Danio rerio: one gene and its partner. The protein of the gene in region 2 interacts with the protein of the main gene of each other region in a pairwise test. Links are inferred from orthologs where the notes say so. Each region holds a gene or a part of one and is shown on either strand. Other genes may lie near its edges.

Region 1 (7,146 bases), on a different chromosome or scaffold from region 2:
GCGAATAAAACTGATTCTGTTTCCATATTGACTTTATATTAGGATAATTTCTTCTCTTTTTTAAACAGAGTATGGATAGATCCCCCACTCTCTCCTTTTAAATACGAGTTGTTCTGATCGGATTTTGTTTATTGAATGCATCAATCATTCTAAAGAAGCAAATTAACAGCACTATTAATGGCACTGTTATTAGCCTTCAAGAGTTCAGTCATGACCTGTTAATGAAGCAGGAATGAGCTGATCACACTCCCCTGCTGGACAGACACTGGTTGACTACCTCCAGCAGCTGAGAGTTCTCCAGAGCCGCTGCCACTCGCTCTTTGTCTGCCAGCTGCTTGTTGACTGCAGTAGAAAGGGAATATATACATAAACATATATATCTAAAATTTTATATATATATATATATATATATATATATATATATATATATATATATATATATATATATAACATACAATTTATATTCAGAAAGTAAATTATTGTAAATAATAATAATAATTATTATTTTAATTATTAAAATGCCGTTTTTAAACGATGTTGTTTTGCTGAGAAATTTGTTGTTACAATACTATTGTTACTATTTTCATTTATGATTTTTCTTTATATTAGCTTTGAAATTTCTATGTTTATATTTAGCAACTAAAATGAACAAAATAGCTTAGTTGGCCATAATAACCCAGTTATTAATACATTTTAATGGTGGTAATTATACATCCACATGAACAGTACCTGTCCTGAAGCAATTTAAGATTGCTGAATTATACATGCATTATTTTCCTAAAATCATGTAAAAATATATAAAATATATCATGATTTGGCCGAAGTTTTTTTTGTACATTTCTCATTGTGGTGTGCTTTAATGTTTTATTGTCCACCACAAAAGAAAATATAAAGCTTTAATTATAGATCTAAGCCTTAAAACAGCATCTTAATCTAGTATATTCTTAGGAGAGAACTGATATATAAATTTAATAGAAACAGTGCAGTACACAGTTATAATACTCTTATAGATATATTACAAGCTAAAAGAAATTCATCCTCACAGAACAAAAAAAATCCAACAAATTGCATACATTTGCATTTTTTTGTCTCAAAATAAAATGTTTTTCAAGTGTTAAATCATATTATATAGAGAGCCAATTACATAATACAAAAGACAAAAGTCAAAAGTTACATGAAAATGCTATACATACACACACACACACACACACACACACACACACACACACACACACACACACACACACACACACACACACACACACACACTTTTTTTTCTTTATTAACTACTATTCTATCATAACAGTTTACCTGCATCCTCAGAAGCATGTGTGCCAGGCGTGATGTGAACGTCAATCTAACAACACAAAGACAAAAGATTTATGTGTGGCCCAGAGCCTACAGTAAGAAGTTCCAACGTGTTTGGTTGCTCAGTAAATACACTGTACCTTAAATCTGTCAGGCAGGGAGCGCAGCAGCTTGACTTTGATTGACAGGCCAATGAGTGTGGCCATACTGCAGTGTGGGATGGTCGGTGTGAACTCAACAGACACTGTGCTCTCCTCATCATTCACCTGTTCAGCCGGAAACATATTATAAAAGATAGAAAGGCATCAACGCTTGTTTGCAAATGAGACTTTACTTCACCATTTGTATTGTTTTTTTTTAGTTTTTTTTTACAATTTTAGACTCAAAAAAGGCTAAGAGCTAAGGAATAAAAAAAATATAATATATATATATATATATATATATATATATATATATATATATATATATATATATATATATATATATATATATATATATATATATAAATGTATGTATGTATGTATGTATGTGTGTGTATATATATATATATTTTTTTTTATTCCTTAGCTCTTAGCCTTTTTTGAGTCTAATTTAATTTATGTATGTATGTATGTATGTATGTATGTATGTATGTATGTATGTATGTATGTATATATCATTGAATACGTAAAAAAAAAAAAAAGACAAATGTTTTAAAAGTTTAAATATGATAATAAACTAAATCTATGCGCAACAATCTGTCCAAGCCAGTATCCTTAGCAGTAAATACATGGAGCACTTTTAAACAATTGCTATTGTAAGGGAAATAGTTCAACTATTATGATAAGTAGTGTTAAAGATCATAATACTTTAATCATTACATAAAAATATTTATGTATATGGATTGCAGGTGATTGCATGGGTTTTGGCCAGGTTGGTTAGCAATACATGAACAAATGAAAATTAGGACTTGTTTTTAAAAAAAAAAAAAAAGATTTAAGACCTTCAAAACAATATTTCTGTAAATTCAGGACTTATTAAGGCCTAAAATTCAGATTTTGGGATTTAAGATATTTTAAGACTTTTTAAGACCCAACGGAAACCCTGCGGTTAAATAAGCATCTGAAATATTTTATGGCATACTTCAAAAAACAAAGATGATTTAGTGTTCAAAAATGTTAGATTTTTATTATGCTTTTAAATAAATTTGGTCTTAAATTTCATATTTTCTGATTTTTATAGTATATGTATCAACTCCGGTACTTTTACCATAAACCAACATGTCAACTATTTGGTAGAGGTTAATATTTTTGAAATTATGGGATGTGTTGAAAAAATGCATTGCGTTAACTGGTGACATTACGAGTTAAGAAATGCAATCCAAAAATGTTTATTTTGGTGGGGTAGTTAATTTATATCTATTCTGAGAAAAATGTTTGAACTGAGACTCGAAACAGAGAGAAAGAATGATGCATCACAATAACTTATTATGAATTATTTATATTATGCATTGAATTTCTTTTTTCCTTGAAGAATTATACTTTCATAGAAGAGTTCAAACATTTGGTAACACTTTACAATAAGGTACTACTACCATATAATACAGTCTATTATTACTGTAGTTTATATAAACTCACGGTGCATTAACTAATAACAAGCATGAATTTGGAATTTCAATAATGCATTAGTGAATGTTGAACTTAGTTACTATGATTAATGAATGCTGCACAAGCGTTGCTTATACTTAGTCCATGTTAGTAAACATATTAACTAATGAATTGAGGTAAAGTTGGTTTTATATTTACACATTCTGACTTTCTCCCTAATAATATGACTTTATTTAAGTATTCTTTGCTAATTCCTAATATTAACATCATATTAGCAGCCAATGACTATCAAAGTACAACATTTCATTTTAATAATGCTAAAGTTGTTTTGAAGTCATATTTACGTGTGATTTCAGTTATTAAATTCAAAGTACCAGGGTAAACAATACAGAGAGAATAATAATAATAATAATAATAATAAAAGAAATATGAATGAATGTCACAAGCTGTCACTGAACGAATGAGGGAATATAAAATCAACTTTACCTTAGTAACTAATGAAACCTTATTGTAAAGTGTGAACAAATTTTTCATATTTATTTATTCGAGGAGTTCTGCTATTGTGCAAACCACTCAGACTCACATTGACACGCACTTGTTCCACCACATTGAGCTCTTCGAGAGACAGCGGGTGCTCGGGGTCATTGATCGACCTGATCAAATGTAAGTTAATTAGTTAAGGTCTGACTCTAGTATACAGGAACACTTAAATGAGTTTGTGAACTCAAGCAGATTGCAGAAGTAAATAACTGCTATGGTGGCAGATAATTCAAAGCAACCAGGTCGACTTGTCAAAGCAGTGGTGTAGCCTAAAAGTGATGTACGGTGTACTACGAAAGGATATCGAAGATCTCTCTGACATCGATGGGGTCCGCCACATCTTCATCTTCATCAGTGGAGGTGAGCAGTCTTTCCCCTGACCGCTGAAATATCAGAGGATTGGCGTTCTCTAGTCGAGTTCCACCAGACATTATTACACCCTCGACAATGAATTTATGACCAGTAAGTTACTAGTATTTTAGCAGTACTAGCTAATCAAGTCGCTAACTCTACTTCGAAGCCAAACACAAATGACCACAACCCAGGCGAAAAACCCGGAAGTGTACTCGGTTTTCAAAATAAAAGTTTTTAAATAAAAGTCGATGTTTTTGTTTTTGGTTCTGTGTAGAACAGGGGTGTCCAAACTCGGTCCTGGAGGGCCGATGTCCTGCATATTTTATTTTCAACCCCAATTAAACACACCTGAAATAGCTATAACTCATTCTAGGTATACAAAAAACTTCCAAGCAGGTGTGTTGAAGGAAGTTGGAGCTAAACTATGCAAGACACCAGCCCTCCAGGACCGAGTTTGGCCACCCCTGGTGTAGAACATAATTTTACAACATTCTGGGTCATTCTACTGAAACGTGCTTTTTCTGTAGGTCCTTATTATTATTATTATTTTGGCTTAGTCCCTTTACTTATCTGGGGTCACCACAGTGGAATGAACCGCCAACTTATCCAGCACATGGTTTACACAGCAGATGCCCTTGCTTTCAGCTGCAACCGAGTGCTGGGAATCATCTACTGTATATACACACTCATGCACTATGGACAATTTAGTCTATTCAATTCATCTATAGAGCATGTCTTTGTACTGTGGGAGAAACCGGAGCACCTGGAGAAAACCCACGCCAACATGGGGAGAACATGCAAACTCCACACAGAAATGCTAAATGGCCGAGCCGGTAATTGAATCAGAGAATCAGAGGCGACAGTGCTAACCACTGGGCCATATTTATATAGATATATACTGTATATGCTTCATGGTCACAGAATCTTTCTGTTGGTTTCACTTAAAAGGAGCAGGATAAAACACGTGTTGAATTTCTGTACAGAAAGGTTGTGTTTTGATCTTCTTTAGGTTCAGGTGACATTCAAGTGATGCAAATTCACAAGTTAGAGTTCACTAACACATGCAGTTTGCTGTCTGATAGATTTGGATGTGCATGAATGAAAGTCAGTGGGGCAAAAAGTGTTGTCTGACCACACCTTTACAGACATGAAATGCTTGCATTGGCTGTGTTAAATTTCAGAGGCTGAATCCTATGAAGGAAGCATTTGAAAGTTGTCTCAATTCAAACTAATTTGAGGCTTGTTGTTGTTACTGGTTGGTATTTTGCTGCCTCATCCAATTTATGTACATTCTAGCTTATTTGTATAAATTATGATATTTATGATGGTGACGCGGTGGCACAGTGGATAGCACATTTGCCTCACTCCAAGATGGTCGCTGGTTCGAGCCTCAGCTGGGTCAGTTGACATTCCTTTGTGGAGTTTTCATGTTCCCTGCATTTGCATGGGTTTCTTTCAGGTGCTCCGGTTTCCCCCACAGTCCAAAAAACATGTGGTACAGGTGAATTAGGTAAGCTAAACTGACCGTAGTGTATGTGTGTGGGTGAGTGTGAATGGGTGCTTTTCAGTGATGGGTTGCAGCTGGAAGGGCATCCACTGCATAAAACATGTGCTGGATAAGTTGGCAGTTCATTCTGCTGTTGCAACCCCAGAATAAAAAAGGGACTAAGCCAAAAAGAAAATGAATGAATAAATGATATTAATGATATTTGTATGAACTGTATGAATTAGGTTTCAGTTTACTTTGATATGTAAATGAACAAATCATACTAAGAAGTCATTTCATAGACCTTTTACATTTTTATGTGTTGAATGCATAGGAAATAGGGAATTATATTATATATTAATATTTCTACATTTTGGGAATTTTGTTTTGCTATCAAAATGCTTGTTTTAAAATCACTTTGAGAAAAAGTCAATACAAATGTTACTGTCACTCATTAACGAAAGCTGCCAAGGTTGCTAGGTGACAAGATCAGTATATAGCTCAACTATCTTATTTCACAATGTTCGCCTCGGCCTGTGTAGACTTCAAAGGACTCACCTTTGAAGTCTAGGGGCCCTATCATACACCCGGCGCAATGTGGCGCAAGGCGCAACGCAATTGTTGTTTGCTGGTTTCAGCTTGGCACAAGACTCATTTTGATGTTTTAATAGCAACCACGCTGTTTAAATAGCAAATGCATTTGTGCTCATATGTGCGCCTGTAAGCGTTTGGTCTAAAAAGGAAGGTGTTTTGAGGCGCATTACTGGCACATTGCTATTTTGAGAAACTATAATAGATTTTTCAATAGACCAGAACATAGCCGGTCTATTGTCCAGCGCAGAGTGCGATAGTTTTGCGCCTCGCTTACACACTGCTTAATACACACAAGGTGTAGAGCAATACGCAAATATCTTTACATGTGAAAAAGAATAAAAATAAGGAAATATATAGGATATAATAAGGATATATATAGGATATAAATATAAAGGATTAAAATATTACAAAACATATTATTTTCTAGCCTACATGAATTTAAAATCCATACTTTCATGCGTTCTTCAACTCGGGGGCTTTTTCAGTTCATTCATAACAATTTGCTTTTGTATAATGTTATTATTAGTATTATTTATTATATCCACATTTATATTTGTTTTATTAAAAACAAGCTTAGATTTGCCCACCTGTCAGGTTTCAGACCATGTAGGGCACAGGATGTGTATTAGGATATAACTCAGTTTTACACTTCGTTATTATTGTTCATTTATTCGTTTGCTGGAAATTAAAATTGAATTTAAAAATAGTTTTGAAACAAATATTTGTGCTTAACAGATGAAATTAGTTTTGTATAGGCCAATGGATATCTGTGCGTACAAGGGTTCCCTATCCACGAGAGTGAAAGTGAAAGTAGATTGTTAGATGCCTTATCTCTCATTCGCGCTCTGAAGATGCTCTGTTTAACTGTTTTGTTGCTAGTGAAATGCTCAGTTTTTCCACTTTCACTTACTTTACGTTATGTAAATAGCAAATGCACCATGGCGTGACTCAACTGGCTCTTAAAAGGGAATGGGAGATGAGACTCTGATTGGTTTATTCTCAAAACACACCTATATCTCATTAAGAAAATAAGCTCAACCCTTTTAGACCATGCGCCACGACACAAAGCATATTCTTCCATCCTTATGTAAGCAAAAGTGGATTCATACACGCCCTTAATGCGTTTGCGCCCTGCGCTTTGCACATGGATCATCAAAATAGAGCCCTATATCTCACATGCAGCCACAGAATATAGCTGTTGTCACACTGCACTTTTCTCCCCATAGACTTCCATTTATAGGCAAGTGAATGCGTCAGATAGAAAACGCAAGGTCGTGC
Region 2 (6,462 bases):
CATTAAAAATCCCATGGCACGTCTCGTAAAGAGTAGGGGTGTAACCCTGGTGTCCGGGCCAAAGTCCCTCTATCTGCCCTTACAATCATGGCCTCCCAATCTTCCCTTTCCACTGAATTGGCTGTATCACTGTCTCTCCGCTTCTCCAATAGCTGGTGTGTAGTGAGCGCACTGGCGCTGTTGTCCTGTGGCTGCCGTCGCATCATCCAAGTGAATGCTGCACACTGGTGGTGGTGTGGAGAGACCCCCCCCCGCCTCATGATTGTGAAGCGCTTTGGATGTAGGCCATACACAATAAATGCGCTATATAAATACACATTACATTACAAGAAAGATGGGGAAAGGGTTTGGAGACAGTTATTACAACAGACTCATCCTCCTCACCAATTCAGTTTGTTGTCAAAACTGACAGCTGGAGGGGCGTGGTTAAGTATGTTAGCCACACCCAAAACCTCAGACAGGCCTAATCTAAGAATTTAACCGAAAACAAACAGGAAGGGAATTTTCAGATTTTAAATTTAGATTAGAAGGGCAAACTTTTTTTTTTTAATGACATGCACAAATGAATTTATACAAAACTAGCAAAGTGAGCTAACAAAATCAATACGGTTAGATTTGATTTCACGGAGACTTTAAGATTAACTATGCAAAACTGTATCTAAAACTCCTCACCATCTCCAGTTGTCGACTCTTTCCAGATCTTTACGGTTCGATCGTCGCTACAAGAAGCCAATCTCCGTCCCTCAGGGTCAAAGGTCAAACTCCAGACAGTGGATTCATGTCCTTCTAGCGTGGCTCTGCATTCCCAGTCATCATCTTCCTCTTTATAAATACAGATCTTGTTGTCGTAACTGGCTGATGCGAGAAGCTGCAAAAGTATCAGAAAAAACACAGGTCAGTGTTGACAATTGGTGAATTTTTTTCCTCGCTGCTGTCGCCACTAGCTTGCATGGTATCTGTAGAGCTGCGCACTGATGGATTTGCTTTTCACTGTTTGGATTCTCAGTAGTGATAATTAAACCACACTGAACTGAGCTAAACTGAACTTTAACATTGAAAACTAAAACTACACGGTTTCAATTCACTATAATCTTCTATGTGAGGCTGCTTTGACCAAATCTACATATTAAAAGCGCTGTACAAATAAAGGTGAATTGAATAATGTTGATCAAGAGTGTGAATATTATACCTCCTGCGTCGGGTGCCAGACGACATGTTTTACGTCCTGCGTGTGTGAATTCACAACACTTAAACACTCGTATTCGTCCTCCTCATCCACTACAAGGAAAATGAAGCATTTAACACAGATAAATCATCCTGGTAAAATCTTTTAAGATGAAACATTATAGGCAAAACCAGTGTTTATTCATCATAAACAAATATTGTCACTGTTTTGGAGCACACTAGCTTATAGATATCCTTAAAACTAACATACTAAAACTACCATGTATAAAAAAATCTTTAATTTCACTGGAGCTTTAATAAGAACTGTTTCTAGTCGCATTATGAACCATTTATCAGCACAGTGAGACTTAAAATTAATAAAGGTTTGTATTTGTGTTACAGAAAGACACTGTATTCTCCATATTTCTGAGGTACCTTCCCAAATCCAAACGCTTTTGTCTCTGCTGCAGGTGGCCAGTAAGCTTCCAGATGGAGCCCAAGCTACACATTTCACCTCATTCTCATGACCTTCTAACACCGTCAGGCACTGGAAACACACATAACAAACATGTCAGATCAACTTTCTGGATTTTTTAAGAGTCTAAAATTAGCCTTTTAGGGCTCTATTTTGATGATCCATGCGCAAAGTGCAAAGCGCAGGGCGCAAAAGCATTCAGGGTAGAGGTGTGAACCTATACTGGTCTCACGGTTCGGTTACGATTATCATGCCTTCGATTCGGTTCAATTCGATATCTCGGTGCATCACGGTGCATTGACGATGCTTTCCATATACAGTGTTATATTTTAGGGGGGAGGCTATAACAAGCTGTCTGTATAAACACACAGACACACAGCACCACACTGTCTGTCATTCAAACACATACACAAACATAGACAGCACCAAAGAAACAAACACACACACACATACACACACACACACACACTTAAGCCTTCACAACAGGGAGGGCTCACGCTGAGCGGAGCAGAAAAACAAAAAAAAGAAGCACTTTTCCGACGGTCCCTTACTCAGCACGAGCTCTCCCGGCTAAACACATATTGCGAGGGCTTAAGCGGAGCAGTGCTCGTAATGTTGAGCGAAAAAAAGAAAAACAGCTGTGAAACATAACCAGCTTTGTCTTTTTGTAGGAAACACACTTTAGATCTTTTTAGGGTAAGCGGTTTTTGAGTTATTGCCGTCTATACTTGAATGTGTGTCAGGAATATCGAAAACAAAACCAACTGAACCGCGCTGAGGTTTGTAAAAACTCGCGCTCACCTCCCTCGCGACAGAGCGCATAGGAGATAAATGACGTCAGTACATAATAACCGGTTATGATTATTACTGAACCGATACCGAATTGTCTGCATCTGCATCGCGGTGCACCGAAGAAACAATTAATTTTGACACCCCTAATTCTGGGCGTGTCAGAATCCACTTTTGCTATTTTAAGGGCGGAAAAATCCGCTTTGCGCTGTGGTGCATGGTCTAAAACCGACTGGACGCAGCGTTTCATACATCTGAAATTTTTACTGCATACACCGAATCACACCCATATTCTCCTTGTACATCAGAATGAACGTGAAACTGAGCGCATGTGCACGAGCGCAAAACCCCTCCCTGCCTCCTCCCCCGTATGAATATGCTTATTACTATACTTTGGCAAAACCCAATAAAAAAGTAATGGCAAAAGCAAGCAAGAAGAGAAACTTTGAACAGAATGCGAATTGGAGGTGCTGCTTTCAGAGCTAGACCGGGGAAAAACGGTGTTATTTGCAAGTTTGTCCTCCGGAATTAATAACAAAAGAAAAAAATTAGAGTGGGAGAGTTTAGCTGATGCGGTTAACACAGTTGGGTCTGAATGATGTAAAGGTGTAAAATGTTGTAGATTCTTTAACTGCGTGAGTGGCGTAGCTCGTAAAACGCATGGCAACATGTTTTGACACGTTTAAGCATGAACTTGGTTCAAATCCCACATCTGATGAAGACGTTCTTCTTTTTTTCCCCCGCTACATATCTGATTTTGGCTACTCTTCATCACGAGGAAGACAAGTAAGAATCATTAATAAGTTTGTGCATCATATATTATTTGCACATTTATTGAATGGAAATGTTTCGGATTCACGTATACAAATTCGTCTTCAGATGGCACCATTATAGCAATGTGCGTGCAGTATATCGCTCCGATTACATTGGGCAAACAGGCGACCGCTGCAAATTGCGCTTTAATGTTTGGCTGGTTAACTGCATGGTATGGAAACCTTATAAACCTGCTAGACATGCGGATGAACCCTTCTCATACAGCTGCCATTACACGGCTCAAAGACGTGGTGTGCAATTTAACACTACTGCCTCTAGGAGTCTCCCATGGAATTAAAACAGACACGCACAAGAAATGTGCGTCCGCCAGGCATGAAGTAGGCGTGGACCGACGCACATTCTCACGTTAATTTCATCGTTAATAAATCCAAACGCGAGCGTAAAACCTGCCGTACGCAAAGTTTTTGTGTGTACGCAGCCTTGATACATGAGACCCCTGGAGCCGCCTTCCCAATTTTCTAAATATGTCTATTTCATATTTTTGTTATATTATTATTTTTATAATATATATTTGATATTTTTGATTTATTAGAGGTCGATGACATATTACATTATTTTTTTAAAATATTTTATTTGGGAGAAATTTTTATATCCAATGCAAGTGCCTTACAACAAAACCATTGTTTTTGGTTTTCCAAAGGGAATTTTGGTAATACTGTAGATCTTTACGATAAATAAAATCTAATTCAGGAAGGAGACTGCAGTTTATTGAAAAAATTTACACTGATGAAAGTTTTTTTTTTCAGTTTTGTTGGATTTTTTTGTTTATTTTTGCTGTAATGTTTTTGTTTTTATTTATATTTATTTATTTATTTTTAATAATTTGTGCTATTATTGTACATTCTGGTGGATATGTTTATTAGATTTTTTTCCTTATTGCACTTGTGTTATACTGCAATAAAAAAAGAAAATTGAAAGAATGAAAAAAAATCAGGCTTATACAAGCACACACCTCAAAATCCTCATCCGTCTTCTTCCAGATGCATGTCGTGGCATCAAAGCTGGCTGAAGCCAGGTATTTCCCACAGGGAGACCAGGCTACTTTTCTGACTGTGCGCTGGTGTCCATCAGAAAGGACACACTTACATTCCCAACTGTCCCCTGAGAATGAAAACAAACGAGAGGCTGAAAATGCAATAATGCTTTTTTTCTATTTTTCTGGATGCTATTAATGTTTTAAAGAGACTATATAAAAGTCCTAAAACTTCAAAAGTCTTGTAATTACCACCAGTAACACCAAGGATTTTCCAATGAGTATTTCAATGAGTGCCCTGTAAAGGGTTCATATTTTATATTATTTAAAATTGTATTAATATTTTGTTATCATGATGGAGCAAAATGTAAAAAAATTGTCAAAAACAGAACAGCAAATACATTAAAAACACAGTGAGACCCCAAAATAATTATCTAATTGCATTTGAAATATTTACTTTTCCTTTAAATCTATAAGTTTTCCCTCTCAATAAGCTTTTACAAATTTTAAATATAATAAAAATTAATATTATCAAAATTGTTTTGTGTTTTATGTTTGACTTACAAGAGTACACTATTCCATTGTGTTTGGCAATGCGAGCACTTGCAATCCTTTTGGAAATACCTAATAGATGTAATCTCTAAAACTATTGTTAAAGAAATCCCTGTTTGCCCTAAATCTGTGTTCTTGGTCTTTTCCCACCTGCCTTATCGCTGAAGTCATATGAACAGAAGTTTTAAAATCTGTGTCTATTGCATACGAAATGCCTGACTGCCATTCACTGGAGAAGTATTCATGGTCCATCTTTGTCACTCTGGATTGAGGAAATGTCTTCTTGTATAGCAATGCAAAGACTGACTTACTCAGTCAAACAAAAAATGCACATATTTTACAAGATTTGGGACTTCTTTCTTTATTTTTTAAGTAAGAATGGCCTGAACGTTTAGTAATCACAAACAATGTGACTGTGTTAATGTGCACTGTGTTTGTTATGACTAACTTTAATATCTTTTTCACTTTCATTGGAATGTATGTGTGTTGAACTGTCATTGTCTTAATGTCTTTTTTTTTCAAAATTGCCCTTTTTATTATTATTATTTTATCTTATTTTAGTTTATTTTACTTTTATTCATTTATTAATTAATATTTTTTGCATGTACTGTATGTGTAACATATATATATATATATATATATATATATATATATATATATATATATATATATTATGTCTCTGTCGGGATGGGGTTGGGTGTTCTTTGATTGGTATTTGGTTACTAATACATTATGTATCACATTTTTCTGAAACAATAAAAGTATTTAAAAAAATTGTTTTATATATATTTTATATATGGCTTCCAGCTAACTCTATCAAACCTCTTCAGCTGCTTCAGAACGCAGCAGCACGAGTGGTCTTTAATGAACCTGAAAGAACACGTCACTCCGCTACTCATCCGTTTGCACTGGCTGCCAGTTGCTGCTCGCATCAAATTCAAAGCTGATGTTTGCTTACAAAGCGACTTCTGGCTTTGCTCCTTCTCATCTGCTCTCACTTCTGCAGATCTATGTGCCCTCCAGAAACTTGCGTTCAATGAATGAACGTCGCCTTGTGGTTCCGTCCCAAAGAGGGAAGAAATCACTTTCCCGAACTCTCGCATTCAATCTGCCCAGTTGGTGGAATGAACTCCCTAACTGCATCAGATCGGCAGATACCGTTCCTAAGGTATGTGCACGATTTTTTATTTACTTTTTTGTTTGTTTTTTAGGACAACAGCATCTCCAGCAGAAAAGATATCCAAAGATGCCGTATAAATTGTAAAGAAATCTGTGTTTTTGAAACAAATGAAGACAGCAGAAGTCAATAATTAATTTCAATTATTTAGCCTGACATGTTTACTGCTCCAAAATATTATAAATCTTTCAAAAAATAAAATATATTGTATTCAAAGGAGGAAAATTTTGTTGTTTTTTTACCCAGGCATTTAAAAATAACTTTTAGAGCAGTAATTACAATACCGTGAAACCAAGGTTATCATACCGCCAGTATCTTATACCGGCAAATATTTTTCTGACCCCATAACTCTGTAGTTGTTTTAGAAAATATAAATATGTTTTAATATGTTTACATATACTTTCTCTGCGCAATTATGCTTAACTAATAATTGTCACATCCAAAATGCTGGAATTGCTCACACATTAGGGTACAACGGTTGTCCTTGTGCTCAATTTT

Evidence for each region.
Region 1: the proteins of ciao1 (region 2) and ciao2b interact in binary tests that used the Homo sapiens proteins (3 or more experiments, as listed by UniProt). The two-hybrid records come from large-scale screens. The link is inferred for Danio rerio from reciprocal best matches to the Homo sapiens genes CIAO1 and CIAO2B.

What each region holds. Positions count from the first base shown.
Region 1 is NC_133182.1:45,534,885-45,542,030, forward strand, and holds the start of ciao2b (cytosolic iron-sulfur assembly component 2B), read right to left. Parts: upstream 3,935-7,146; 5' UTR 3,866-3,934; coding exon 3,739-3,865; intron 3,558-3,738; coding exon 3,478-3,557; intron 1,575-3,477; coding exon 1,449-1,574; intron 1,358-1,448; coding exon 1,312-1,357; intron 343-1,311; coding exon 242-342; 3' UTR 1-241.
Region 2 is NC_133183.1:6,293,382-6,299,843, forward strand, and holds part of ciao1 (probable cytosolic iron-sulfur protein assembly protein ciao1), read right to left. Parts: intron 4,364-6,462; coding exon 4,215-4,363; intron 1,712-4,214; coding exon 1,600-1,711; intron 1,279-1,599; coding exon 1,190-1,278; intron 869-1,189; coding exon 673-868; intron 1-672. UniProt on the Homo sapiens protein: Key component of the cytosolic iron-sulfur protein assembly (CIA) complex, a multiprotein complex that mediates the incorporation of iron-sulfur cluster into extramitochondrial Fe/S proteins.